Mus musculus: one gene and its partners. The protein of the gene in region 1 purifies or fractionates together with the protein of each later gene. This does not show direct contact. Links are inferred from orthologs where the notes say so. Each region holds a gene or a part of one and is shown in the gene's direction. Other genes may lie near its edges. The genes, in order: Rpa2, Zup1, Cdc45, Parp1, Atrip, Rad52 and Prpf19.

Evidence for each region.
Region 2: the proteins of Rpa2 (region 1) and Zup1 purify together in Homo sapiens (affinity purification with western blotting; 3 studies listed by BioGRID, with this or other methods). This does not show direct contact. The link is inferred for Mus musculus from reciprocal best matches to the Homo sapiens genes RPA2 and ZUP1.
Region 3: the proteins of Rpa2 (region 1) and Cdc45 purify together in Homo sapiens (affinity purification with western blotting; 3 studies listed by BioGRID and IntAct, with this or other methods). This does not show direct contact. The link is inferred for Mus musculus from reciprocal best matches to the Homo sapiens genes RPA2 and CDC45.
Region 4: the proteins of Rpa2 (region 1) and Parp1 purify together in Homo sapiens (affinity purification with mass spectrometry; 3 studies listed by BioGRID and IntAct, counting the BioPlex papers as one, with this or other methods). This does not show direct contact. The link is inferred for Mus musculus from reciprocal best matches to the Homo sapiens genes RPA2 and PARP1.
Region 5: the proteins of Rpa2 (region 1) and Atrip purify together in Homo sapiens (affinity purification with western blotting; 5 studies listed by BioGRID, with this or other methods). This does not show direct contact. The link is inferred for Mus musculus from reciprocal best matches to the Homo sapiens genes RPA2 and ATRIP.
Region 6: the proteins of Rpa2 (region 1) and Rad52 purify together in Homo sapiens (affinity purification with western blotting; 3 studies listed by BioGRID and IntAct, with this or other methods). This does not show direct contact. The link is inferred for Mus musculus from reciprocal best matches to the Homo sapiens genes RPA2 and RAD52.
Region 7: the proteins of Rpa2 (region 1) and Prpf19 purify together in Homo sapiens (affinity purification with western blotting; 4 studies listed by BioGRID, with this or other methods). This does not show direct contact. The link is inferred for Mus musculus from reciprocal best matches to the Homo sapiens genes RPA2 and PRPF19.

The regions. Positions count from the first base shown.
Region 1 is NC_000070.6:132,774,860-132,778,359, forward strand, and holds part of Rpa2 (replication protein A 32 kDa subunit), read left to right. Parts: intron 1-157; coding exon 158-274; intron 275-1,388; coding exon 1,389-1,496; intron 1,497-1,793; coding exon 1,794-1,888; intron 1,889-2,930; coding exon 2,931-3,015; 3' UTR 3,016-3,500. UniProt on the Homo sapiens protein: As part of the heterotrimeric replication protein A complex (RPA/RP-A), binds and stabilizes single-stranded DNA intermediates that form during DNA replication or upon DNA stress.
Region 2 is NC_000076.6:33,948,460-33,952,467, reverse strand, and holds the start of Zup1 (zinc finger-containing ubiquitin peptidase 1), read left to right. Parts: upstream 1-1,208; 5' UTR 1,209-1,337; intron 1,338-1,850; exon of another isoform or gene 1,851-1,985; intron 1,986-2,603; 5' UTR 2,604-2,720; intron 2,721-2,969; 5' UTR 2,970-2,983; coding exon 2,984-3,539; intron 3,540-4,008. UniProt on the Homo sapiens protein: Deubiquitinase with endodeubiquitinase activity that specifically interacts with and cleaves 'Lys-63'-linked long polyubiquitin chains. Shows only weak activity against 'Lys-11' and 'Lys-48'-linked chains.
Region 3 is NC_000082.6:18,809,173-18,813,204, reverse strand, and holds the start of Cdc45 (cell division control protein 45 homolog), read left to right. Parts: upstream 1-1,232; 5' UTR 1,233-1,639; coding exon 1,640-1,690; intron 1,691-1,840; coding exon 1,841-1,900; intron 1,901-2,723; coding exon 2,724-2,816; intron 2,817-4,032. Other genes in the region: Ufd1 (ubiquitin recognition factor in ER-associated degradation protein 1), read right to left, coding at 788-790. UniProt on the Homo sapiens protein: Required for initiation of chromosomal DNA replication. Core component of CDC45-MCM-GINS (CMG) helicase, the molecular machine that unwinds template DNA during replication, and around which the replisome is built.
Region 4 is NC_000067.6:180,578,891-180,582,390, forward strand, and holds part of Parp1 (poly [ADP-ribose] polymerase 1), read left to right. Parts: intron 1-263; coding exon 264-478; intron 479-1,642; coding exon 1,643-1,745; intron 1,746-3,500. UniProt on the Homo sapiens protein: Poly-ADP-ribosyltransferase that mediates poly-ADP-ribosylation of proteins and plays a key role in DNA repair.
Region 5 is NC_000075.6:109,071,325-109,075,591, reverse strand, and holds the start of Atrip (ATR-interacting protein), read left to right. Parts: upstream 1-1,467; 5' UTR 1,468-1,587; coding exon 1,588-1,837; exon of another isoform or gene 1,838-1,933; intron 1,934-2,854; coding exon 2,855-2,985; intron 2,986-3,703; coding exon 3,704-3,874; intron 3,875-4,267. UniProt on the Homo sapiens protein: Required for checkpoint signaling after DNA damage. Required for ATR expression, possibly by stabilizing the protein.
Region 6 is NC_000072.6:119,901,210-119,905,497, forward strand, and holds the start of Rad52 (DNA repair protein RAD52 homolog), read left to right. Parts: upstream 1-1,488; 5' UTR 1,489-1,626; intron 1,627-3,112; exon of another isoform or gene 3,113-4,288. UniProt on the Homo sapiens protein: Involved in double-stranded break repair. Plays a central role in genetic recombination and DNA repair by promoting the annealing of complementary single-stranded DNA and by stimulation of the RAD51 recombinase.
Region 7 is NC_000085.6:10,893,932-10,898,030, forward strand, and holds the start of Prpf19 (pre-mRNA-processing factor 19), read left to right. Parts: upstream 1-1,299; 5' UTR 1,300-1,518; coding exon 1,519-1,537; intron 1,538-3,571; coding exon 3,572-3,721; intron 3,722-3,885; coding exon 3,886-3,962; intron 3,963-4,099. UniProt on the Homo sapiens protein: Ubiquitin-protein ligase which is a core component of several complexes mainly involved pre-mRNA splicing and DNA repair. Required for pre-mRNA splicing as component of the spliceosome.

The DNA.
Region 1 (3,500 bases):
AACCAACACACCAAGTCTACCCTCTTGACTTCCCTTGCATACAGTGGTACATGTGCCCACATTCATATTCACATTTTTAAGTCTAACAGGCGTTTTGCCCAGAAAGTCACTTGAATATGTTTGCCTTTTACTTATATTTTCCTCTTACTTATAATAGAACAAAAAGAGCTTGGTGGCCTTTAAGATCATTCCTCTGGAAGACATGAATGAGTTCACCGCACACATCCTGGAAGTGGTCAATTCACACATGATGCTCAGCAAGCCCAACAGCCAGGTGAGCAGCTGCAACTGACTCCTCCCTTTCTGGGAAACCAAACTTAACATTCATATTTCCGTGTCTGTGTGTGGTGTGTGAGGGATCCCCTGCAGGTAGGGCTACAAGCTGTGTGCCACCTGCAGCCAAACTCAGGAAGAGCTCAAAGAGCTCCCACTGCTGAGCCATCTTCAGCCATCACGTGGTCCTCAGCACATTTTCTCCCCGAGCTTCGCCACTGTCCTTTAGTCTAAGTGAAACACTCATGTTTCTCAGAGTTTCCAGTTGTTTCTCACCCAATACCAAGATAGCTGACCAAAAGTTTCAAAGCCAAACAGCATTTTGCGTCCAACCTGTACGCCATAAAAACATCTCAACAACAGACATCTAATGGGTGTTTGACTGGATGGCCTAATAGGATAGAGTTTGTCCTCTGTGTGGTCGCACTGTGTTAAACCTCACAGGCCGTGTGACCCTGTTATTCAGTTCAGTGGGTACAAGACTTAGCGGATGTCCTGTTCATCAGCACTGCAGAGAGGAAGGCTTCTGAGAAGGTGCAGTGGGAGTGAGTGGGAGCCAGAGAAGCCTGGAGGGGCCACTGGGGAGCAGTGGGCAGCATTGTCTGCTGCTAAGAGGTCAGATGTTGTGGTGACCAAAAGGCTGGAGCAGCCAGGGACTAGAGACGTTGGTAGAACTCAATTCAGAGGATTTGAGATAATCCAGCTAGTGGTAGGCAGAGAAGGAGTGACCTAAAAGAGGGTGAAGCATCTGTGCCTTTCTCGGTCTTATCCATAGTGGGCAAGCCCTCTGCCAGGGATCTGTACTCACAGGCAAGCCTGGGCCCTTTTCTCTCTCAACAGGGTTTCACGATAATAAATGCTCACTTGAGCGAGCCCAGGGAAGCCGCTGTAGCTGGCATGTGAAGTCGTAGTGCCAGAGCCTCCTTTCCGGGGACAGGGAATGCATGCCTCGGGGTTAGTTAACGCTCCTTACGAGGTTTCATTGTTAGAGTTTTCCTATATCAGTCGTTACTAGGGAAACTGATTAAATTGTTTGCTGCTGTTTATTAGTAAGTTAGGTGGAGTAGGGTTGATGTGGTGGCTTTTCTAATGTTCTGATCTTGTTCTTAATTCAGGCCTCTGCAGGGAGACCATCGATGAGCAACCCAGGAATGAGTGAGCCGGGGAACTTCAGCGGGAATAACTTCATGCCAGCAAATGGCCTCACTGTGGTCCAAAACCAGGTAAGCTGCCTGCTTACCCTGCAGAGCACGGGCAGTCTGATAGTTTGTTTCTTCCCAAATGATGGGAGGTTATCTTGCAGCCTGCTTCACACCAACACCCCTCCTTTTTAACTTGTGTGTGCTTGCCTGCTTGTACAGATGGATATGTGTATGTCCACAATGCCCGATACCAGTAGAGGATAGAGAGGGTGGAAACCCAGGGTCTCCTGAGCCATCTTTCCAGCTCCTCTTTGTTTATCGTAAGTAAGCTGATGCAGAGTAGTTGGTTGCTAAAGTCTTTTTACTCTGAACTGTCAGGTGCTGAATTTGATCAAGGCTTGCCCAAGACCTGAAGGCCTGAACTTCCAGGACCTCAGGAGCCAGCTCCAGCATATGCCTGTTCCCTCAATCAAGTGAGTCTTGTTGTCCGTGGCCTTGGATCTGTCCACAACCTTCTGCTGGTGGGGAGTGGAAAAGGTGAAGCCGGATCTATCATCTCAGCACTTGAAAGATAGAAGCAGGAGGATTGGGAGTTCAGAGCCAACCTGGGCTGCCTGAGACTCACTCACACAGGAGTCAGCTGCTGGGAAGAAAACAGAAAAGCACTCACAGGTGGCGCTGTTGCACCGCTTACTGATTTGTTGGGACCTGAAGGCATCAGGCAGCCCTTCTTACTCCAGACTCCTGATTCCATTGCAGTGAACTGAGATGGGTGTGTGTGTGTGTGTGTGTGTGTGTGTGTGTGTGTGTGTGTGTGTGTGTGTGTTCAAGGCCAGCCGAGTTTACATAGCGAGTTCCAGGACAGCTCTGACTACATAGAGACCAAGACCCTGTCTCAAACAAGCAAACCCATTTACTAACTATATGCCGAGATGGAGTAAATGCCCAGGCCAGTTCCCCATTTTATGCTGTGAAATGGTGGTCGATAACGCCCATCTCAAAGTCATTGTGTTGAGGTAGCTACACTGTAAATGGCTCGTACTAGACATCTTCCTGTCTCTGAGGACCTAAGGATTTGGAGGAGTCTCTTTCTGGCTTACCTTTCCCTTCCCGCCACTCTACTGCCCATAGGCAAAGCAAACGGCATCTCAGTGTGTGATTCTGGGGCCTGAATCCAGGGAAGGGAGCTGTAAGACCCCTGTGCACATCTCATGTGCGAGCTGACTGTAGCTTCAGGATCTTACGTCAACTTAGATTGGCATCTAAGTGAAGCCTTGTTTTATTTTGGAATTTGAGTCCGGGATCCAAGGCAGCCCTGGTAGCTCTGGTCTGCATGGATAACCTCAACCCTTGGGTTGTATCGACATTTCTCTACGAGAGACTTCCATGAACAAAGTGACTGAGGAATTCACAGCTAAGAGAAGTACACAAACAAGTGATGTTTGCTCATTTAGCTATGTTCAAAAGGCGCTGGTTTTAATGTGGGGATCCCCCCCCCTTTTTTTTTCCTTTCAGGCAAGCAGTGGATTTTCTGTGCAACGAGGGCCACATTTACTCTACTGTGGACGACGATCACTTTAAGTCTACAGATGCAGAGTGACTGGAGTTTCCTGGGTGCCTGGAATCTGTCCAGCTGGGCCTGTGTTCCTCTGTCGGCCCCAGCTCTGCGGGCTTTGGCCAGAGGCTTCTAGGACAGAACTTTGCTGTAGAAGGTCTCACTCAGCTGAAGTCCTTTTGGAACTTAGTGCTCTCTGTTTTGTTGCTTGTTGTTTAGAGGTTCAGAGGGAGATAGACAGTTGAGAAGGAAGTAAACCAGGACTGGATTTCTTGTAAGAAATTCCAATAAGCTAGTCAGGACTCCAGGATGGGTGGTCGGAATTGAAAGAGGAACACTGCCAAGATGTCAGGGCAGGGCTTCAGCTTGCTTGAGAGCGACTGTTCTCCAAGGCTTCGTGTTGAGGACAAGCACTGCTAGGGCCAAGGGCCAAAGAAGAACCTACCACCCTCTGCCAGTTTGCGCTGCCCTCTGGGTCTGCGGGGTTACTTTCGGAATTGCACTTTCCTTCCCTTGTCTTGCCCGCCGTG
Region 2 (4,008 bases), on another chromosome or scaffold:
CAGACAAAAGAGAGCCCAATCTGGCGCCGGAATATTGTGATCCTTCCTTCATAAAAGCACTCTCCCAAGCACAGATGGCTCCGACCTTTGAAGGAGACAGGAGTTAGTATTCTCGAAGTGATAAAGTCCACTCATTCTCAGGCAGCTGTGACTGCGTTATAAAAACACGCTGGTCTTTGATAAGTTATGTCTTCCCAGGTCAAAAAGGTCTTGTTCCAGCTGCGCAATTCCTCCTCCCTGTCTGAACAAATACTATCGGTTCTCTTTTCCTCTTCCCAATCATGTAACACCAGGGGTTGAGAGCCCCAGTTTATGCATCCTCCTATATATACCTTAAACCCCTAGATTTAGGGGTCACTGTGCATTGGGAAAGATAGCGAACCGGGTCCCGGTTAATAAAAACTCTTTGTATATTACATTTGGTCTTCCAATTTCTGGCAGTCTCCTGGGGTTCCCGCAAACTGGGCATAACAACCTGGTTACAGAAGATGGCCAGTTCATCTTTTTTCGTTAACTAATACTGTCTTGGAGGAAAAGACGAGTCAAGTGGGAAGCTGATGAAGGAGGAAATCTGGAAGCAGAGTTTTAGTTGCCCCTTGTTTAGACATTCCACAAAGTTCTGTTTTCTGAACGTTTTTATACCTCTGGAGAAATGATTTCATTGTTGTTGGCCTCGCAGCTAATGGTTAACTGCTAATGTGCTCATTTTTAGCTTGAAAATGTTCTGTAAGAGTACTTTCACTCTTACAATGACTTCGAATTTTTTTTTTTTTTTACTAAAAGAAGGAATTCTACTAAAGGAAATAGTATTTCCTCCATGCATCACGTTCAACGATACCCAATAATTTAAAAATATTATACTTGTCAGATTATGTCATCCTCATATTTAAACACGTCCGTAGTTGCCTCGTAGATCAATCCCCCAGAGGGAGAAACAGACTGTTAACACTGGATAAGCAACTTTGTAATATTGACAAAGGAACTTGTCTTAATTAACCCGCAGAACATAATTTAGAGCTCAGATACTGTGTAAACAGGAACAGGTGTTTGCCGCAGAATCAGACATTTAAATGTACTCAGAATCTAGTTACGGTTTTAGCATATCTGGAGTGGAAACTGCAACTGGAAGGTGGGAGGGGCAGTGATGCTCTGATGTGCAAGCGAAAGTTGCAAAAATCCCTCACAAGTCCCACAATGCACCGCAACTCAGACGGATCTGCAGCGGGGCATGCTGGGATCTCTACCCTCTCTGGCCAGTGAGGAAGGTCTGTTGTGACTGCGGAGGACTCTTGGAGGCCTGGGCTCTCTTTTGGGTCGCGGCGCGGCAGTCTCGGGAGGTCTGTCCTTGGCGATCGGGCGGGCTGTGTGGGGCGCGCTTTCGGGCGGTGGCTGGCTCCTGCGGTGGGGAGGAGCGGCGGTCTAGCCGTGGGTCCGGGTCTGCAGGCCGGCTCCGGGTGGCCGCAGGTCCGGTTCCCTGCGCCCCACCGGTGCGACGTTGGCTCAGAACTTTGACAGATTCGGGCCTTACCACCTTCGCCATCCCGTACCCAGGCTAGCCCTTCGAAGGTCCCCCCTTACTTGTAGTGTGTCCTTTATCTGCAGTGCCCCAGTCCTTGGAAGAAACGAAACTAGGTATCGATAGAACTTCCTTCTAGAAACAGAAACTTATTACTGTCTGAAGAGAAACGAGAAAAAGGAAAATGTAGAAAGATTTTGTAAAGCTGAAATTAGATGAAGGGAATAGTTGCCCTCGTTTTTCCTTCCTATTACTAAAATACGTGACAGCCAGGTGATAGTCTAGGGGAAGGTCTGGGTTTGTGATTGCGTTAAAAGGTTTTGTTTTGTTTTAGCACCTCCCTACAAGTAGTCCATCTCCCATTAGCCCATCAATCTCATAACTCGTTTGAAAATGAACTTCCGAGGGTTGAGCTGTTAGCTAACCTAATGAAACCAGCGTCTATACCCCAGTTTCCTAGATCTTGGCGGTAAGTGCTGTTTTCCTACAATGCTCACAGCTTTTACCTTTGGGCTCTGCGGTGTTTACCTTCCATCGTTATCTGACTGTAGTGACCTGTCTGGTCCAGGGTTTCCATGTATGTAAAACCACAGCAGTGGTATTAAGTTTGACACATATAAAGCTCTGAAGTGAACTAAGGTGGATTTACCCTCCTCATTCTACTACATGCAAGTAAATATGTTGATCAACATTAGCCTTCTGTTTTACTTTATTTTACATGGACAACTTATTAAATATACTTTTTTTTCTACCTGTTGGACGAAATGCCTTGTATTATTGTTTTTTGAGATGGAGTCTCACTATGCAGCCCTGAATGGTTTGGAACTCAGCTATGGCTGGCCTCCAACTAACAGATCCACCTGCTCTCTGCCTCAGGAGTGCTGAGATTAAAAGGGTGTATCACCAATGCCTTGTTGAAATGTTTTACTCATAAATTTTCTTATTATTACCTCTGATATCTTGACATTCAGGCACAATATCCTTTATCTAGAATATGTAGAAATACAATACTAAACATAAAGTTTGTTTGTGTCATATATAGCTTGTATTTTAAAACATATTTCTCTGTATGTATTTCTATTTTCAGTGTGCCAGTGTTTTGACTGTCCTACATCGTGTGATCAGGCATAGATCCACTTGGGACCTGTCTGCTCAGAAGGTTTGAGATCAGGCATAGATCCACTGGGACATGTCAGCTCAGAAGGTTTGGATTTTGGAGCATATGGAGTTTAAATTTTTGGATTAAGAATGCTTGACCTGTAGCTAGGCTTTCTTAGGACATATTATAAATAAGTGTGTTTATTTAAGGAATGATAAGTACAGTGAATTTTTCTTTGCCAAAGCTAATATAGCTCTAAATACTCCACAGAAGAGTCCCAAATCATTTTTATGAAATGTGCTTTTCTTCAACTTTGACTTTCAAATTTACAATTTTGTTTTACTTCTATTCTAGGCCCATGCTCTGCCATGCTTTCCTGCAACATATGTGGTGAAACTGTAAACTCAGAACCAGATATGAAAGCTCACCTAATTGTTCACATGGAAAATGAAATTATCTGTCCATTTTGCAAGTTGTCAGGTATAAATTACAACGAAATATGTTTTCATATCGAAACTGTTCATTTTGAACAAAATGCACCAGAAAAAAACTCTGAGAAGCTAGCTGCAGTGCAATATGGACATTCAGACCGAAAGAACACCAACCTGCAGAGTACAGCGGAAGTTACTTCAGGCATTCATTCAGCTTGTGCATCTAGCTTTCCAAAAGAGTCATCTGAAAGCCTTCCTAAAGATAGGACTGTAAAGCATGAAGCTTTTTATACAGAGAACATAACTGAATCTAGAAAGTACCAAAAGAGCAGAGAAAAGAAGCCTGGATTGTCTGAGGCCCAAGGATCAATTTATGAAACAACATACAGTCCTCCCGAATGTCCATTTTGTGGAAAAATTGAGGGGTGTAGTCAAGATATGGAAATTCATGTGAAAACAAAGCATGCCAGTCTTTTAGAAAGTCCATTAAAAGGTAAAGTACTCAATTTATTTAAATTGTTATAAAAGCGGTAGTCTCAGTTTAATATGTGGTATCCAATGAGTTGGCTTGTCAATTGCTACAATTGTGCTTTTTAGATTCAATTTACGTTCATAGTATTTTTCATTTGCTATCATTCCAATATAAAAATTATAAAGAGTTTGATGCAGATATAGAATGCTTTAGCTAAAGTAAGAGCAGTTTTGGTAACTTTCTAGTTTCTAGAGAGCATTTGTACTACCACTAGCCCAGAACATCTCAATTGTCCTAGACTGTGGGTTGGTGTTAATGAATTTTAGTTTGCACTCCATGATGTTTATTTAACAAAACACACTGATACTGAGCCTTTTGGACTTGCTGAGACTTATTTTATAGCTGGAGATAGAGATACGGACTATCTTGGTTCATGTTTCATGAGTCTCTGACAAATATGTTCCATTTTCTTGAGTATCATTCAGTACCC
Region 3 (4,032 bases), on another chromosome or scaffold:
CCTAACACATCAAACACTCAGTGCTGGTTATGTAAATGAACTTAGACAGGGACTTACTGTGACACTCAGGATAAAAATCTAATAATCACTTCTTGTTTTTAACAAACAAACAAATGGCACGGAGTCAACACTATATACAGGAGTGATGAGACATCACTGCAGCCGGATGGACTTGACTTCCAACCTCTGAGCCTCACTTTCCTGAGTACCACCTCTCTAAGTTTTAGTTCTACCGGTAAATATAATAACTACGTACCTATGTTCCATGGGGAATGCAGGAATTAAATAAGTATACGTTGATAGAAAAAAGGCGCACTACATATTACCTATTGTCGTTATCACAACGTGATGAACACAACGTGACATACAGCCTAAGACATGATTTCTACTAAATAAAAGGTCAGGGAACTTTGGCTGAGCTTAATGTCCTTCGTTTTCTCCTCCCTCGCGCCACTCCCCCAAGAAATCTCCAGTTAACTCCGAGTTCATGGAAACTTGTTGCGTGTCGAGCACTTATGAGAACTATCGACATAAAGTAGCAGGTTCCTTTTTACTCTCGGGGCTGCTGTCCCGCCGAAAGGCATTCGAGTCATGACTCGGACAAGCTAAGAAGAAAAGAGGTGGCTCGTAATTATGGGTCCCACTTGGGACAGAAGCTCTCGGGACAGTGTCGGGGCCCGACGCAGGCCCGGGTGACTCGGCACCTCCGCCACCAGGTCCAGGCCCTCCCTGCCAGCTCCAGGGGCAACTCTGGCATCATCCGGTTCGCGATCCCCGGTCAACTCACCATGACTGACAGCGTTTGGTGATGCCGCTTCTTTTCCTGAACCTTACAATAAAAACCCACAGCTCCCTCTTTGCAGTCCAGGCCACTGCTCTGAAACCCAGAAACCGCGAGAGGCTCGCCGGAAGTGACGGAACACCGCAGGGGATGGGGTACGGAGGCCTGAAGTCAGCGGCGGAAAAACAGAAAGTCATGGGAAGGCCTGAGGTTTGAATATTACTTAAAGTAAACATTAAAACACTTGATAATTGATTTCACAGGATAGCGACTGTTTATAATGTTTAGATAGTACTCTCTTCCAAACAACTTGATAGGAGCCGTTCTCCTTACGGACTACAATACCCAGAATGCAGCTAGAGTTTCCGGCGTTGATCCCGGCCATCATGGATTCGGGCGGAAGTAATCTATAGCTCACTCTAATTCGACGAACCGTGTATTGGAAACTTATTGGAAACACATTCAAATAATGTGTGACTGAATTTACTTTATGTCTAAGAGTATATTGTTTTCTAAGTATGCCAGGGTCAGATAATAGACCTTCCTTCCCGAAGTAAAGATGTCTGCCAAACATAGGTGGTTTTGGGTGACTGGACGTTAGCGTCAACACCGGCAACAAGGTTCGCAGCCTGAGGAAAGATGTTTCATTTTTTGAGGGACGGGCGGGTCTTATCCAGCTGCGAATAGCAGAGCATTATTGGCTGTCCCCAGTAGGAACCAATCAGAAAGGAGGAAAGGCTAAGAATTATTGGCTGCTGGCGTGGACCAATCAGAAGAGCTGTGATTTGGCGGGAGTCTTGACGACCTCCGGGGCTGTCCGTGTCTCAGCGCCAGTTCTAGGTATCCGCCGCTGTGGCTATGTTCGTGACCGATTTCCGCAAGGAGTTCTACGAGACGGTCCACAACCAGGTGACTCCCATTCCACGATCCTGATCCAAACCTTATCTGGGGGCTGGGGAGAAGAGGGCGAGTGTCCGTGGATGGGCCGGGAGGTCAGAGAGTTGCCACAGAGTTTAGCGTCCCTGTGTTCAACTCATCTGTCCACGTTTGCTTCTACAGAGGGTCCTTCTCTTTGTGGCCTCGGACGTGGATGCCTTGTGTGCTTGCAAGATCCTCCAGGTGAGCTTTGAATACCTTAGGAAGGTAGGACAGGAGGGAGAGGTGACAGATCAGGGTTGGCCCCAGCAGGGGGTAGGTCACAGAAGGGGAGGGACCAGAAGGAGCAGGCAGGAGGTGAGGAACCCAAAATATCCTCTCTGACCTATACTGGAGCTAGAGAGAAGTATAGTGCAAACAGTGAGACAAGTACGTAGTGTTTTATACAGTAACCCAAGTGAAAATGGTTTCACTTCTGAAATCTTTGAATTTGTAAATGACCTCTCAAAGATGGAATTTGAGAGAGGAGATGTGACAGTGGGGAGTGGTATAATAGGGAGTGCAGGAAATACAGGAGCCCCGAGTCTATTAGAGAAGATTGTTAGTTTGGGCTCTGACCATAGTGTGGTTTGTTTTTTTGTTTTTGTTTTTTCAAGACAGGGTTTCTCTGTGTAGCCCTGGCTGTCCTGGAACTCACTTTATAGACCAGGCTGGCCTCGAACTCAAATCCATCTCCCTCTGCCTTCCGAGTGCTGGGATTAAAGGCGTGCGTGCGCCACCACACCCGGCTCATAGTGTGGTTTTTACAATGTGCTGGGGTTAGGAATTTTTCAGAACCCCTGTAATTAAAATTAGGGTATTTTTTTTCTCTTAATGTTTTACTTTGGCACACTGTACAGATTCAGATTGAATTCTTGCTCACAGCCTTGCCACGTAGCTTCTCCTATTGACCTTTTACCAAACAGCATATCACATAGATCTTTGTCTCAACTCAACTAGTCTGCTTCTGGTGATTGCAGGTAAGTTATCTTTAATGAGGGTTTCTGACCACATGCTCTCTCTCCAGGCCCTGTTTCAGTGTGACCACGTCCAGTATACGCTGGTTCCGGTTTCTGGGTGGCAAGAACTTGAAACTGCATATCTTGAACATAAAGAGCAGGTATGAACTAATGAATTGGAGAATAATTAGGCCACTCTACTCAGTGGCAGGTTCTTAATACTTAGCATTTGTCCAGTTCTGAAGTAGGAGAAGGGTGTTTTTGAAGTATCAGTTTTATTAGGCTTAAAGTTATGGTGGCGGAATCAACATTTGCCAAGGAACCACCAATTTAAGGTAGGTTTGAACTACATCTAGCAAGACTGAGGCCAGCCTGGGCTACACGACAAGATCCTGTCTCAAAAATAAAAACAGTTTAGTTGTGGGCAGCACCTACTCTGACCTCACTTGTTGTTTCCATTTATTTATTTATTTTGTATCCCATATCAGCCTCCTTCCTCCTAGTTACCCCCCCCCACAGTACCTCCTCCTATTCCCTTTTCTGAGAAGGAGAACCACCCCCCCTTACAGGGTGTTACCCCCCCCACCCCCACCCTCCCAGCTCATCAAGTCACTGCAGGACCTCTCCCACTGAGGCCAGACAAAACAGCCCAGTTAGGGGAATGGAATCCACATAAAGGCAACAGAGTCAGAGCAGCCCCCTCTTGAGTTGTTGGGGATCCACGTGAAGATGAAGCTGCACTTGCTACATATGTGTGCAGGGGGAGTGGGGGGCAGCAGGCTAGATCCAGCTCATGCTTGCTCTTGGGGAGGGGGTTCAGTCCTAACCTCACTTATTTCATTAGGATACACTACTGCTCTATGTTATCTCTAGAAAATGCATTCCAGTTATCAAACACGTTTTCACTTTGGAATTAAACGGTAGAACCAAGACTCCTTACCTCTGCCTGGGACCAGATGAGAATGGGTTATTGAAGGCCCTATAGGGAATGGGTAGGGCATGTCAAAATGCATTTGGAGTCCCTGGCTGCTTCTAGGATGACTTGGAAGAGATTCATTTATAATTTGAAGTACTTATATCAGTCGAGTTTTTTACCTCCAGTATTTTGAGACAAGATCTTATTTGCTAGCCGAGGACAATCCTCCTTCCTTGGCCTTCAAAGTGTTGTATTACAGGTGTGAGCCCATAGGCAGGCAATTTGGTGTTACTAAGGAAAGGTTTTACCTATAGTGATTGTTTGATAAAGGATCTAATATTGAGGAGGCCACGTGAGGCTGCCCAAGATTTACTGCAAGCCTAACCCACACAGTGCTGGTGATGTGGTAAGCTGTAGGGGACATTGCAGCAACATTTTGGCATTGAGCAACAGCCCGCGAG
Region 4 (3,500 bases), on another chromosome or scaffold:
TACTTGTCTAAGTATAGGTATGTAGGTAGTCATTTAAGATGTGTAAGCAAGGTCTTTATTAGCATAGCAGGTCATGTATCAGTCTCATGGAGTGTGAGTGCTGGGGCCTAAGGGTACCTCACAGTCTGTGATGGTGTAAAACTCAGAATGTTTTGAGAGCTTCAAGCTGGCTTCATGTGCCTTTGTTTGGACTCAAGGCCCTAGGTTAGCTGGTCCTTGTCCTGCCTTGTTATTCCCTAGATACCTCATGATTTTCCCTACAGGGCCAGATGCGCCTGTCCAAGAAGATGGTGGATCCAGAGAAGCCACAGCTGGGTATGATTGACCGCTGGTACCATCCAACTTGCTTTGTCAAGAAGCGGGACGAGCTGGGCTTCCGGCCTGAGTACAGTGCCAGTCAGCTCAAGGGCTTTAGCCTCCTCTCTGCAGAAGACAAAGAAGCTCTGAAGAAGCAGCTCCCGGCCATCAAGAATGAAGGGTAGGTGGGATGTGGTTAGAATGTACAGTTCTAGGGGAGCCTGTGGATTCCATTCCTCTGATAATGATGATCAGAAAGAGAGGAGCTCTGAGGCTATAGGAGCAGAGGGCATCTGCTGCTCCAGTACCCACCCACCAGCTCGCCGACCATGACATCTTCCCGGGCTTCTGAACCTCTCCCGACTCCTGCACCCAGGCGTTAGTACAGCAGACTGCCACTTTCTCATACAAGGCCACCCTTGTGGCCATCCAAGCTTCCTTGCTCTGGTGATGGCTGTGCTTCCAAGATCTGCATTTGTGTTCCTTTAACGTTGCCTTAGTCACGCAGCAGAGGTGTCTCTGTGTCTGCATCTCTGGGAGAATCATGACTGTTCACAAAAAGATGAACAGCGGGAAGGGCCTGGAATCAGAACAGATGGGCCCACATGTGGAATCGGCATCTAGGATGGGAAGGGTCTCAGTCTTATTAATGAGCATGCTGAGCCTTGTGGAACTGTACCATGCTCATCAGCGACACCCATGCCACTGTCACCAAGCAGCTTCTTGCACTGTTTGTGGTCCTAACACAGGTTCATAGAGCAGCACTGGTGGCTTTGGAATGTGAAGTGAGCAAGTCAGGCCAGTGGGTGAGGGTGCCCTCGAACTGTCACAGCACAGGGTGCTGGGATTCTCCGGCTGTCTTTATTTATGACGTGATGCTGGAGAGGTGGAACATGCCCAGCTCTGTGCCTGATCTCATTATCGCCATAGTCCCACAAGTTCTGCTGGTCCCTAGCAGGTGGCTTTAGAAAGTACCAGGGTGAACTCAGGCCTCGTGGAGATCTGGGGAGCAGCTCCCTGTCTCACTCCAGGCTCAGTTCTTACAGTTGTGTTTGGCTTTTCCACAATTCCCTGTCACTCTGCGCCAGAGATGTGGGGTTTAGCATGAAGTGTGACCTGAGCCCTTGGTCTGTCCTGGTCGTCCTGGACACTAGGGTGAACTCCAGGCCCCTCCTTATTGGCAGAAAAGGTCCTGAAGGGCGTGGCCTCTCCTGTCTGCCTGGCTGCAGGTAGCACTTGTACCTAAGAGGGCAGGTGGGCAGCTAAAATGGCTAAAGTGACATGTTACCTGGTTGCATTGAGCATCGGTCTTGTGGGTTCTTATAAAGTCCTGCATTTCTTTCAGAAAGAGAAAAGGTGACGAGGTGGATGGAACAGATGAAGTGGCCAAAAAGAAATCTAAGAAAGGGAAGGACAAGGATAGTAGTAAGCTGGAGAAGGCCCTCAAGGTGAGTCCTCGGCTCTGTGACAGACGCCCGCCCGCCGACCCTGCTCACCGAGACCAGTGCACACTCATCACTGAGAGAGAGAGAGGTCTGCTATTTCCATGAGCCCTGTGCTCACAGACCTTCTGGCCTCCCACTGTGTGCCCTACCATGGGGAGTAGTAATAAGGATGTTGGTATTGAGAGCCCAGCACTGGGAGTGGAAAGCAGGGAGTGAGCTTGTAGGTGCCTCAGTCAGTGGAGTTAAAGTCTTTCCTTGGTGTCGGTATGGCCAGCGCTCTCCTTTCCATCTTGGGAGGAGCAGCCTGCTGCTCAACCCTCCTGGCCTGCTGTCCCAAGGAGCGTGGAGGCTCACCCTGCCATACCTCCTGGCAGATAGTTGTGAGAATGAATGAGATGCTACATAACACCAGCAAAAAGTAGGCACTTTGTAGACATTGAAATCAAGATTTTAAAGTCCCAGTTCTAGAAGAGGTCGCATATATACCTGCTTGAGCTTAAGTGAGGGAAATCTACAAGTGGGTATTGGGAAAGATAATGGGGACCAGGCATTTCCAGTCACTTCTGTCTCTTGAAACAGGTTTCTGAGGGGGTGACACCAGGACCCATGCAATAAGGGATCCAGTCTTACTTACAAGTGGTCTCCTTCATACTTTGCAAATGTATTCTGAGAGGATTGCCTGGCTTTATTGTAATTGTAGGCTTTTCCATCCTCATCCAAATTCCCAAAATAACAATTCTGCGATTAGATTACTTATGAATAAATGCCTAGGCCAAAAGCTTCAGCTAGTTCCCCTACTTTGTATCTTATTACCCCATTTATTCTAAGTCCTGCCATATGGCTAGTTACCTCTTCTTAGGTTCATCAGACCATCTCCATCAGCTAATCCCCTTTCTGCACCTAACTATCCCAGCATCCTCTCCTCCCACTGAAACTCCCACCTTCTATTCCTGCCTGAGCTAATAGGCCAACAGCTTTTTCTATTGACAGGTGATGCCATACAGTGCACAAGAGATTCTCTGTGCTTTGTTTTGATTGTACAGGGGTTTGCCTGAGTGTGGGGGGTGTAAACCTGAGGGTGGAATTGGTCATACTAGCCTTGGAGAAACAGCCAGCCCAGCCCCATCAAGGGTATGCAGAAGAAGGAAGGCTCACTGATGGGCCTGGCACTGGCGGTAGAGCCTGGCCAGGAAGAACACTGTCTACCTAGTCTAGTAACCTGAGTTGAGGTTTCAAAGTAAGTCAATCATATATACAAATTTTATGTGAATGAGTGTTTTATTTACCTCTGTATATGTTTATGTACCACATGCTTGCCTGATGCTGGAAGAGGTCAGAAAAGGGCATCCAGGTACCTGGGCCAAGTTAGGGATGGTGCTGTAAGCCTCCATGTGGATGATGGAGTCAAACTCAGGTCATCAGGCCAGTAGCAAGTGGCTTTACCCATTGAGCCATTTTGCTAGCCCTGATTAACTCGTTTACAGTCCAGTAAAGACTGAGTGAGGCAAGAGAATTTCTATGAATTTGAGGGTAGCCTGGGCTACATAGTGAACGTCAGGCCAGCCAGGGTTCCTGAGTGAGATTCTGTCTTACTCCAGTCTCCCCCTAAAAGTTACCTCTTGGACTTCCTAAAGTGTATAACCCAGACCTTTTATTATCCCAAAAGGAGGAGGCCCACACTCCCTGCCTCAATGGCAATGAAGTCGCTCCTCTTTGTGTAATGTCGCAGTGCCCAGGGATGGCCCCAAGATCAAGGCA
Region 5 (4,267 bases), on another chromosome or scaffold:
ACTTCTCGTTTATTTGGTAGAACGTAATCCCTCCTGACAATGTCCTGTTTCCAGAACCAAAGATCGTAGCTATTACAACCTGGGCAATCAGCCACGCCTGGTAGCCCACACTCACAATTCTAGCACTTTAGAGACTGAGACAGGATTAGAAGTTTGAGGCCATCTCAAAAACAAAAAACAAAAACAAAACAAACAAACAAAAACTCATGTCTATAATCCCAGCACTCAGCGGGAGGAAGGACATTCTGGAGTTCTGGGCCAGCTTTGGTTATATGTCTTGACATATAACCAAAGGGGGTGGGGGGCTGCTGGGAGACTTGAACATTCAACATTATGTTGGGCAGCTATGGGAAAACTACCAGCAGCTGAATCAAGAAACTAAGGCAGTTCTAAGTGATGCAATGCCTTCTGACCACTGTAGGCACCAGGCATACATGCATGTGATGCACATACATACATGAAGGTAAAACACACATAAAAAATAATGAGGCAGGGGTGGGGTGGGGGTGGGTTGGCAGGCCTAAGGCATTCTAAGCCTGAGCGCTCTCCTTTCCGCCCAACGCCTCAGCAAACATTGGTAGGTTCACAAACTAAGTCTGGCATTGAGCAAACGGAGTAGAAAAGTCTTGATCTTGTTGCCTTCCAATGCTAATCCGCCATTTCTGGTATCTGTTCTGCCCACCACTTCAGCTCATAAAAGCCAGTCATACACCCAAGCCCAACTCAAATCATTGCTCCTCCATGAAGTCTGTCGCAAAGAGGAGGCATCCACCTGGCATCCTTGTCGAAGATGAATTTTTCTCAGAAACATCATGCGTCTGCCTCCTAACCCATTTTTCTTGCTATTTCCCCCTCAATCTGTTGGGTAATTCAAGGACCACTCCCAGCGAGCCTTCCTTGACCTCTTGAGCTTCATTGTCTCTACGCAACCAGCGCTCAGGACATAAAGACTCTCCAAGAAATAAATGGAAGTTAACAGTTGGAGCAGTTCCGAATAGGCACGCCGTTCTCGAGACCATCCTTCCCAGCCTTTTTTTTTTTTTTTTTTTCTCAAATATACATACTTGAAACATTTGTTATCCTGGAAGATCTCTGCTTCCAGGAAGAAAAGCATTCCTTCTCCTCCCCAAGTCTGCTCTTCCCAGCCTCCTCCCTAAAAGAGTCTCTGGACATGAGAGAGGTGGGTCAGCCGCGAGGAGTGAGGTCAGGGAGAGCTGACCCCTGAACGCTGCCTGCTTCTCTAGGGCTCTGTATTCTACACAGTGCCACGGGGAACCGCCTCAGGTGTGGTCGGGCAGACGCTCCTCGATCTCGCAACCGGGATAATCCTGACAGCACTGTAGTACCCTGGCATCACCGGGGACCCCTTCGTACTGAGCCCAGACACGCAGGAGCCTGTCCCGGGTAACGGCGCGCTCTGTACACGTCACCCATCTGTGCCCGGTAGCTGGCAGCTGATTGGCCCGCAGGCTGGGGAGACGCTGGAAGGCGAGGGGAACGGCGGCGCGCGGGCGGTTGGGCCAGCTCAGGCTTTCTGTGGACAAGGCTGTGCTTGGCGTCTTCGGATGCTGCGGGTTGAAGGTAGTCATGGCCGGGACCCCCGCACCGAACAGCCACAGGAAACAGAGTGGCGGCCTGGAGCCTTTCCCCGGTCTGTCTCGATCCATTGAGAACCCTCCGAGCAAGCGGGCCCGGAGCTTCTCTGAGACCACAGTCCCGGACCCCGAAGACCCATTCGGTGAGCACGCGGAATTTACTGCGGACGACCTAGAGGAACTCGACATCCTCGCGTCACAGGCCCTGAGCCAGTGTCCCGTCGCGCCTCGGAACCTGTCCAGTGAGTGCCTGAGGGGCCTTTTCCCCCGGCGGGTGGTGCAGACCTCTGATTTGGCGGTGAGACATCCAGAATGTTAAATGGCCTCCCATTTAGATGGTATGCACCCCATTGTAACCCTTGGGCAGAAGAGCATTAGAAGGCGTCTGACAGAGGCAAGAGATGAAAGAGAGTCTTACACAAAAATGCCAGTTGCCCAAAGGTTAGGCATGGCAAACAGGCAATGGGCAAGAAATGCCAAAGCTGCTTTTCTTCTTAGAGCTTACACTCTTGGGGAATAAGTTAAGTGTCAGGAGGGTTTGATGGGCACCTTGCGAATGTACTTAGCACTTACAGCATCTGAAAAATAGGATTATCCCTGGAAATGTGGCTGGCCCTCCATCTCTCCAGCAATATTGCATGGAAAACCAGGCATTGGAAAACACTCATTGCTGACCAGCTGTCATATGCGGCAGTGGTTAGACGCAACTTTCCACGAAATGGCACAAAGCAATGCTGCCTCCCCCTTCCTTGGCCCTACATCACCCGGTACTCTACCTTACTCCATCCCTGGAGCCCCACCTCCCCCTGGAATGTATCCATTTGGTTCACCATCAGTCTTTAAAACCAGCAGATCCTATGCCTAACATGTTGTAGTAAATAGTAGTTATGGTAGAGTCACAGCCAGTGCAATCTCTGTTCAGCTATGAGCTGAGAGTCTAGAAAGTGGGTGAGGTATAAAGCGAGAGAATTCAGATATGCTATGCCATAAGGATTCTTTATGTGTTTATACCATGCTCGGAGCTGTTACCTGGGTCTTTCTCAACTTGGCTTTCAAGAGTGACTCCTTCTGCATTTTATGACAAAGGTGGATACATACTGAGCCCCGCAGTATACATGGGATTATTTTTTCCAGACAGGTTCTCGATCTCTAGCAAGGCTAGCCTTGAATTTGAGATCCCCATAGCTCTACTTCACAAGTGTTGGGATTGCAGTTCTGTGCCACCATGCTCAACCTAAGGGCAACTACTTTTTATACAGGTGCTCATAAGGTCCGCCGATTAGATGGGTTACCAAATAGTCCTATAAGGAAAAGCAGAGAAGATATTCCAGTTAAAGATAATTTTGAATTAGAAGTACTTCAGATACAATACAAAGAACTTAAAGAAAAGGTATGTGACTTTTGGGTTGTTTGTTTGTGTTTTGTTTTGCCTGTTTGGTTGTAATGCTGAGAATTGAACTCAGGACTTTACCTTCACACATGCTATACACAGACACTCTACTGTTAGGCTATCCTTCCAGCCCTAACTTATTGTATTTGCAGCTAATTCATTCATTTTGGTATTAAAAAGCATGTGTAAAATATATAAAAACTATAAAACAAACATCTAGATTTATTCCTCTGAAATGAAAGAAGGTTGGGGAAAGAATGCCTGAAATTTTATTTACCCTGTGTATATCCCTGAGCCTATATAAGTTTATATGCACTGCATGCATACAGGTGCCCATGAGGTCAGGGGTGCTGGGTCCTCTGGAATCAACACAACTGGTGTGAGCCACCTCATATGGGTAATGGGAACGGAACCTGGGTCCTCTGTAAGAGCAGTGAGTGCCCTTAGCTGCTAAGCCATCTCTCTAGCCTCTACAGCTTAGGTCTTTATCTGAGGAACATGTCATCTTAGCGGTTGATATTTGTTAGTTTTGCAGGCTCTCATACATCTTTCACCTGGCCATCTGTAGGTGCCTAAGAAAGCCAGAAATCCAACATGGGGTTTTAGTCTGTGGAGGGTATGAGCCGTAATGTTAAAGCTGAAAGAATCTGTGTGTAAGTGGTGAATGGATTCTGAAACTGTTCTTGCTGAATATCTGTTGACTGGGCGTAATTTACAGCTGAAAGCAATGGAAGAAGAAATCCTAATTAAGAATGGAGAAATTAAAATTTTGCGTGACTCTCTGCGTCAGACAGAATCCGTTCTAGAAGAACAGAAAAGATCACATTTCCTTCTTGAGCAAGAAAAGACTCAAGCACTCAGTGAAAAGGAAAAGGAATTCTCCAGAAAGGTGAGCCAGAGCATTTGTGTCACGCGCTGGGGACAGTAGTGTCACCTGTCCATCCACTGACTGACATTAGAAGGAGCAGCCAAGGCCAGGCATGCTGACATATGCCTTTAACCTCAAGAGGCAGAGGCAGGTGGATCTCTGTGAGCTCTAGGCCAGCGTAGACTACACAGTGAATTCCAGGCCAGTCAAGTGAGAAACTTTCTCTAAAAAATAAACAAAATAGAAACAATAAACAATGTTGCCTGGAAACATTCACCCATTGTTTAAGTACTCGCTGCCCTTAGTGAATAGCATGTATCTTTCTTCCAGGGTCTGCATTTGTTTTGGAAAAAGACTGAGATGAAACTCTGCTTTGCTGTGGTCCTGATTCTTGGCAGGAACAAATCACTAGCT
Region 6 (4,288 bases), on another chromosome or scaffold:
ATGGCTCAGTACAAACCTGATGGCCCTCTTCCCTGCGTCCCCTGAGCTTGCAGAGTCTCCATCTCTTCTGCGAGGCCCACTTCGGCTTCCCTGCAGGCACCCGGGGCCAAGCTCCTGCAGGCACCCGGGGCCAAGCTCCTGCAAGCACCACGTTCTGAGGCGCACGGATAACAGATTAATAGTCTATTTTTTTAAAAAAGATTTGTTTTTATTTATATGTATACATGTTTTGTGTGTCTGGGCAAATGAGTGTCGTATGTTTACGGTGCCTTCAGAGGCCAGAAGAGAGCACTGGGTCCCCTTGAACTGTAGTTACAGGTAGTTGTGAGTCCCCTAATTTGGATGTGGGGAACCTAACTCAGGTTCTCTGAAATAGTACGTGCTCTTAAACTGTGGAGCGATCTCTGTAGCCGTAGATGTTCAGGTTCTCCTCCCCTGTCGTTGGGATTGAGTCCATTACTTCCTACATGCCAGGCAAGAGTCCTACTACTAAGCTATAATGCCAACCCTCTTTTTACCTAGACAGGTTTTAAGCCCAGGCTGTCCTTGATTTTGGGATTCTCCTATCTCAGCTTCCCCAGTAGTTTGAGTTACAGGTCTGTGCCACCAGAATGGAAATTTGGTACTCTTGCATCGGCCAGTAGCACAGTTTCAAATGATGTTTTTCTTTTCTTCGAGACAGAGTTTCTCTGTGTAGCATCCTCGAACTCAAGACATCTGCCTGCCCCTGTCTCCTGGGTGCTGGGATTAAAGATGTGGCCACCACTGCCCTGAGAAAGAGTCTTTCCTTTTTGTGCAAGTAATGGGCAAGTTGAGTGACCAGCTAATTCCAGAAACAGAATTCTGAGTTTCTCTTGTAGCTAGTGTCATTGTCCTGTTATCTTGGTCTTGTCAGTATGGACCCTACAATGTGCTAAAGGACTTTCGATTTATTTATTAACTGCATCTGACTCCGTGTTTCTGGGAAGATTAGTTAAGTCAACCATCTAGGAAAACACGAAAGATCCTGGATATAGTGGCCATATAATGAATTGGTTAAATTGCAACAATCTGAAGGCCTGACCATTAAAAACAAAAAGTTCTCAGTATATAAACTACACATTGGAGACGTAGATCTGTTGTAAAGCAGAAAACATCATAAACTGAGATCAGTCTGTGTTTAACTTGGAGTGATGCCTAAAGTGTAACTGTCATCCAGTTAGTTCCGGTTGAATTTCAGGGGAAATCCCACTGGCTGCCAGGGTCTCAGAGTTTAAAAGCACACCGAGGAGAGGTTGGCTCCGGGCGTCACCCAGCCGGGTCACACCAGGGACCCTCGCAGGGCGCCTACGGAAACCGAAGCGGCTTGCTGCGGCTGCGGGAAGGCTGATCGCCGCGGGCGGTGAGATAACAGCCCAAGAGCGCTCAGGATGCTGAGTCCTCCGCCGCTTCCAGTTCGCGACTTGATTTGCGACAGCCTGCTTTGCGGCTCTCGGCGCCTTCTGACTTGACTTACGGCCTTTCCTTCTGTTTTTCTTTGGGCGAGGACTCTGAGCTTGCAGAGTCTCCATTCCTTCTGCGAGGCCCTCTCCGGCTTCCCGGCAGGCACCCGGACCGAGCTCCTGCGTGCACCGCGTTCCGAAGCGCGTGAGTGAGGACGGTCCTCGCCGGGGTGGTTCTAGCGGGGTCGGGGAGCGTGGGGCCTTTCGGATTCGGGCGGCTGCTGGACACGCCCGGCACGGGGGCGTCTCCACCGGGGAGGCCGAGCCCTGAAGCCCCCACGGTTGCGCTGGATCTGGAGGGAGGCGCCTGGTCCGGGGTTGCTGACCGCGTGCTCGGGAGCACCGTGCGACACGCGCGCTGACTGTTAACAGGACTGTCTAGGACAGGGTGAAGTCGGAGGGAGTCGGTGGGGCTGAGAAGAAACTGTGGACTTGAGGAGTTTGACATTCAGGGTAGCCTTTCTGGACTTTGAAAAACGAAGCGTGCATTAGTACGGTTAAATTCACTCCTCGGGGGTGTACAGTTCTCTGGTTACTCATATGCTTGGGGGTTGTGTAACCCCTAGCAACATCGAATTCCATAACATTTTCATCACTCCTAAATAAATCCAGAAGCCACAGTTAGCTCTCCCTCTCACTTTTCCCGTCATCCTAGGACCCCCGTCTGCTTTGTCAGTGAACCTGTTTCACTTGTATGAAATACAGTACTTTGTGTGGGTTTCGGTGGGATCTGTTCCGCAGAATAAAGTTCCGATGTTTGTATCTCGTTTGAATTATCCATCAGTTGATTAAGTTGATGGTCATCTAGGCTGATTCCCCTACATGGCCATCTCAATATTGCTTCTTTAATAAGACCTGGACAATTAACAGCACCAGTTGACATGCCAACTTGGATTGGGGGAGGGGTCTTAAAGGGCCCCGCCCTTAGATGAAGAGCTATACGCAATTAATGACTGTCAGAAAGGGAGAATGGCTTTCCCAGAGATGAACCCCCTAATGGATTACCCAGTACCAAGTGATCAGCCCTAAAATTGTACATGTACATGCTACATTAAACAGACTTAGGGGTTATATTTATTTATTCATATATGTATGTCTCTGTTGTCTGTGTAAAACAAAACAGAAAAAGGCTATGAAGTTGAGAGAGGGATATGAGGGATTGGAGGAGAGAGAGAGGAAATGATGTGAATTATATTTTATTTAAAAAACTGGCTGCTGCTCTTCCCAAGGACCTGGGTTCAATTCCCACCACTCACATGGTGGCTTACAACTGTCTATATCTCTAGTTATAAGGGATACCTTCTTCAGTACTTGTGGTGCACAGATAAGCATGCAGGCAAAACACACATACTTATATAATACAAACATTAATTTTTTTTTTTTTTTTTTTTTGGTTTTTTCAAGACAGGGTTTCTCTGTGTAGACCTGGCTGTCCTGGAACTCACTTTGCAGACTAGGCTGGCCTTGAACTCAGAAATCCGCCTGCCTCTGCCTCCCAAGTGCTGGGATCAAAGGCGTGTGCCACCATCACCTGGCTGTTTTTTTTTTTTTTTTTTTTTTTTTTTTAAAGAATCAAAATTTCTAATCTTTAAAAAAAAATGCAGGCTGGAGAAATGGCTCAGTGGCTAGGAGTAGTGGCTCTTCTTTCAGAGGACCTGAGTTCAATTTCCAGCACCCACATGTCTATAACTTCCATTGCAGAGGACCCAGCACCCTCACATATATGCAGACAAACACCAATGCACATAAACAGTTTTTAAAACAATGTTAGCTGGGTGTGGTGGTACATACCCTTAATCCCAGCACTCAGGAGACTGAGGCAGGTGGATTTCCGTGAGCTCGAGACCAACCTGGTCGACAGAGTAAGTTCCAGAACAGCCAGGGCTACACAGAGAGACCCCCCTACCCCCGAAAGTCACCTCTTTGGCTGGGTTTATTCCATGGTCGTTTGTTTATAGTTGTAATTGTGAATACAACTGTGTTTGTCATTGGTCTGCACAGAGCCTAATGGTTTTTGTGAATTAATTTTGCCTTCTGGTACTTGATTAAAGTGACTGTCAGCTCTGAGACTTTCCTGATGGAGTCTTTGGGTCTCGTGTACAGAGCATGCTGTCTACAATTAAGGGTGCTTTGGCAGCTTCCTTTCCTCTTTCCCTACTTTTTCATTAATTGGTGAGAGACAGGGCCTCTCTCGCACTGGATCAGGCTGCCTCCAAGTGCTGGTTAACGGTGAGTACCATCAGGCCAGGCTTGCATTCTTTTTTTTTTTTTTTTTTTTGTAGCTTTGGCTGTCCCAGAACTGAGAGATCTGCTTGCCTCTGCCTCTGCCTCCCAAGTGCTGGAATTAAAGTCATGGGCCGCCTTGACCAGCTCTGGGTGACAGTTTCACCTAAAATATAGATGGATGCTTTGATGAAATTATAAGACCAAACAGACAAGATATGTTCATTATTTTCAAAATCTAAGTACAGAACGGAGCCGACTTCATTTCTCATGTATGTAGACAGGGTTTGTGGTGATAGCAATTTGAATATGAAGCAAGATTGCCATCCATGTCCCACCCCAGCACTCCCCCACAGGAACAACCTCAAATGTGAGATACACCGACCAAAGTCACCTGGGAAGGGAAAGGAGTTCCTGCCACCTGCCACCAGAAGGCTGTGGGCTGGCCTCTTTCTGGACAAGGCCTTCCTTCTGTGCAGTTTTGGTTTATTCTGATAGAACACTGGACAATATCTGATCTGGACTGAGAAGGCAGGGAGTGGGTACACAGTGAGTTCTAGGGCAGTCTGAATGAGACCCCAACT
Region 7 (4,099 bases), on another chromosome or scaffold:
TAGCCTATTTATTTATTTTACTGTGTGTGCTTGTGTGTGTGTGTGTGTGGGGGGGGTGTCTTGGGGACTGAACTCGGGTATCAGGCTTGGTAGCCGATCTGGTCCGGTCTTTAGTAGAGAAAACAAAAGAAGTTGGCAGGAGGCAGGGAACTGTTATTATAACAAAACACCTGAGGTAGGCTACTTTAAAGAAAAGAGGGTTCTCCTTGCTCAAATTTCTAGAAGCACAAGGTTCAAAGAGAATGACGTGGGCAATGTCTAGGGCCTCTTCCTTGCTGGTGTCACATTGCCATGGAAGTCAACTGGTTCATTTGTGCCTGTTCACTCTTTCTTTCCCTATATGAACTCCACCAGGATTCTTGTAATGTCTTATTCTAAAGATCCCACCTCTACATTCCACAGTTAAGCTAGATAGTAATGACACACACCTTTGATTTCAGCACTCAAAAGGCAGAGACAGGAAGATCTTTGAGTTTGAGGCCAGCCTTATCTGCAGACTGAGTTCCAGGACAGCCAGGGCTACACACACACACACACACACACACACACACACACACACACAAACCCAGTCTCAAAAAAACAAAAACAAAACCACAGAAAAACACCATAGTCGTGCTAACTTTCCACTCTTACTGTTTGGTTGCTTATTGAGACATGTTCTCTCTACACAGCTCTGACTGCCCTGGATTGGAGCTCACTATATAACCAGGTTGGACTTGTACTCCGAGATCTGCCTGCCTCTGAAGCCCAGTGCCTGTGTTTAAAGACTTCTGCAAACACACCCATCAAATTTCCATTCTTTTAAACGTACACATAAGACGCTGGGAACTAAATTCCCTTGAGTTTACAAAACAGACTATATTTAAAACGTAGCAGGCAACGAAGTCATTGGCTTGCCCATATTTCCAGAGCAAGAATTTAGGCAGTGTTAGTTTCTTTACTCATTTGTGCTTTATTTACAGGGTCACATTGTTTCTCAAAAGCCGGCCAAGGAACACAGGTCTCCGAATCATGCCTACAGACTCTCTAAGGCAGACTCTAGGAATCTGCACTTTTACAAGCTCCTGAAAAATCTGTCTTGCACACGACCATTTCAAAGACTAGTGTTCCCTAGGTGACAGCAGCTCCATCTAAAAAAAAAAAAAAAAAAAAGAGCCTTGGCGGTCCCCGCAGCCTCATGGGAAATGTAGTTTCTTCTCTCCTTCCCGCCTCAGGCCTCTTGGAGCGCTCGCCGGAAGAAGCCGAGCCAATGCGGAAACAGCCGAGTGTTTCGAGGCGGGCCTTTTCCTGCTCGGTTGCATGCTGGGAAAGGGCAGTTTCCGTTAGCTGCAGAAGGCTGAGGCGCGCCACCGGCCACCTCCCCACGTGAAGCAGTTGTGCGAGCATCGCCACGCTGGGCAGCTGTCTACCCGCGTCCGAGCGCTCCGGAAGCGGCGGGGGACCGGAAGTGGCCCGCGGAGGCTGCAGAGAACCGGGAACCCTCTGTGAGGCGACTGGCAGCAGCGCTACGACGGCGCCATGTCCCTGATCTGCTCGAGTGAGTGCTGGCTGCGGCGGGAGGCGGGAGCGTGTGTGGCCCCTGTGGCTCGGGCCCTGGAGCTCCCGGCCCTGCGTGCAGGGTGCATTTGCGCAGGGCTGCGCAATTCACGTAGCTGGGAAGAATGACTGTCTCAGGGGTCTTTTGAAACCGGCGTCGTTTTACAGAGCTGAGACAGGCCTGAGCAGAAGTGGGGGGGAGGAGCTGGTGCAGTGAAAAACAGCTCTTGGTGTCAAAAAACCCGAGGACATGCCCAGGATCCGCCTCCAATTGTGATCTGGGCTCTAGCGGGTTTGGGCCTCAGTTTCCCCATCTGCAAAATTGAAAGCATTGCAGTGGGCATTGCTTGGGAAACCTCGCTTAGGAATCGGACTTTCCGATTTGCAGAGATCACGCAGTGACTTCGAGACAGGGCTGGAAGCCAGGTGTCTGGCTTCTAGCCTCGCGCAGTATGACTAATGAAAACAGCGAATGTTTAGAAAACCTGTATTGATTTACGATGCATTTCCAAACGGTGATCTCATTTTATGCTTACAAGAATTGTCTGAAGGGAAATAAAGATCCGTGAGTTACAGAGGGTGTCGGAAGTCTTGAAGAATGGGTTTACCTAGGGGTGTGCGAGGAAGCTAAGCAGTGGAGCTTGGCTCTTTGAGCCTGGATCCATGGTTTTCCCGTGCACTATGCTGTCCTGTCTTGGGGTGTTGTATTACGGCATTGCGGGTGTTCTCCCATATTGTTTACCACGTTACTAGATTCCTCGCCTTCTCTATTTCCCTCTCAGAACGTTGCCATTAGTTCAAAGAAGGAAAAGGAGGAGGGAAATGACAAGCAGAAAAGGAAATCTCATACTAGAGAAATTGCAGTTTGCAAAGTATTTACAAACGATTTGTTTTCTTTCCATCTTTGAGACCACACTCTTACGTGCCCAGGGCTATCCTTCCTCTGGTAGAAGAGGGAAAGCTCCCAGAAAGCTTTAGTCGTCGAGTAGTGTGATAAACCAACAGAATAGGACAGGAAGGCCGTGTACAAGATACGGGTTTTAAATATGGCACAAATCCATACTTAATAACACATGCATGGGAGTCCTGCAAAAATAGGTGATTCTAAGAGAAGCCACGGAGAAGAATAGGAGCTTGAACCTTAGGATGGTGACTCACAACCTATGGGAGGCTGAATAGAATTGTGTGGTGAATAAGAGCTGTTTTGTGATGTGACAAGTCGCTATCTTAGAGCAGCTTTCAGAAGAGTCTGATGTGGAGGTAGCTTCCACTTGTCTGCTAAAGTGAACCAGTTGACCCTGTTTAGGGGAAGGTAGAGAAACAAGTCTGAGAAGGTCAGAGAGACCTTGGTTTTAAGCCTGCTTTTGGGGCCTTCATTTCTTTATTTTTTATTTTGGTAGTTAAGCATGCTCAAGGCTTCGTACTTTGGAATATTCTTTTCTGGGCCCCGGGACTTTTGCACTCATTTACCCTGTTATGATGTTTATCAAGTGTCAGCTTAGTATCTGCATTGTCCTGGAGGTCAGTGACAGCTGTAACGGCCATCTTCAAGGGTACACAGACTATTCTGTCAAGCGCTTAGAATAGAATCTTGCTTGGCATGTAGTAGCAGAGCTCTTTGTTTGCTTGTTTTCATTTTATCAGTACTTGTCACGTTGCTTCGGAATTTCTCCTGTTGATCTGTCTAGGGCTCCCACTGGATGACAGGTTTGAGTTGTGCTCTGTGTGCTTCTCTGTCCATCTCGGTTCAAAAATGAGATGGGCAGGACTTACTGACCACTCTGTACAGTACTGGCACATAGGATCTGGGCAGTTATTATTTATTGACTTTTATTATCAGCAGACCAGAGAATTTAGCTAAGTAGTTGGCGAGCATTGTAGGACCAAGTACGGGCAGGCTTGCTGTCACAGACCTTGCTTCCTGATAGCTGACTAGGAGGACATGGTCTTGTTGGGGCTGACACAATGAAGAATCTCCTCTGCCCACGTCTCCTTTTCTCCTGTGCTCACTCTCACTACCTGTCTTTCTCTATAGTCTCCAATGAAGTGCCAGAGCACCCGTGCGTGTCCCCTGTCTCTAATCATGTGTATGAGCGGCGACTCATTGAGAAGTACATTGCAGAGAATGGCACAGATCCTATCAACAACCAGCCTCTCTCAGAGGAGCAGCTCATCGACATCAAAGGTGCCTGCCCAGTAGCCTCAAGTCCAAGGCCAGCTCAGCTCAGCCTTCACCGGTGGGGGGTGGAGCCAATCTGGTGGAGAAGATGGTGGCTGGGGGTGGGGGTGGTGGGGGAGAGTTCCCTGGGTTCTAGTTCTTCATACCTACTTTGCTGCCTCTCTTGGCAGTTGCTCACCCAATCCGACCCAAGCCTCCCTCCGCCACCAGCATCCCAGCCATTCTGAAAGCCTTGCAGGATGAGTGGGTGAGTTCTGTGAAAAGAATGCACCTCTGGGCTAGGACCTGGGGATTGAAAAGATGGGGCCTCCCTCCTCCCTCCTCTCCCCTCCCCTCCCCTCTCTCTTCTGTGTCTGGGTCTTTGGCTTACATGTATGACCGTGT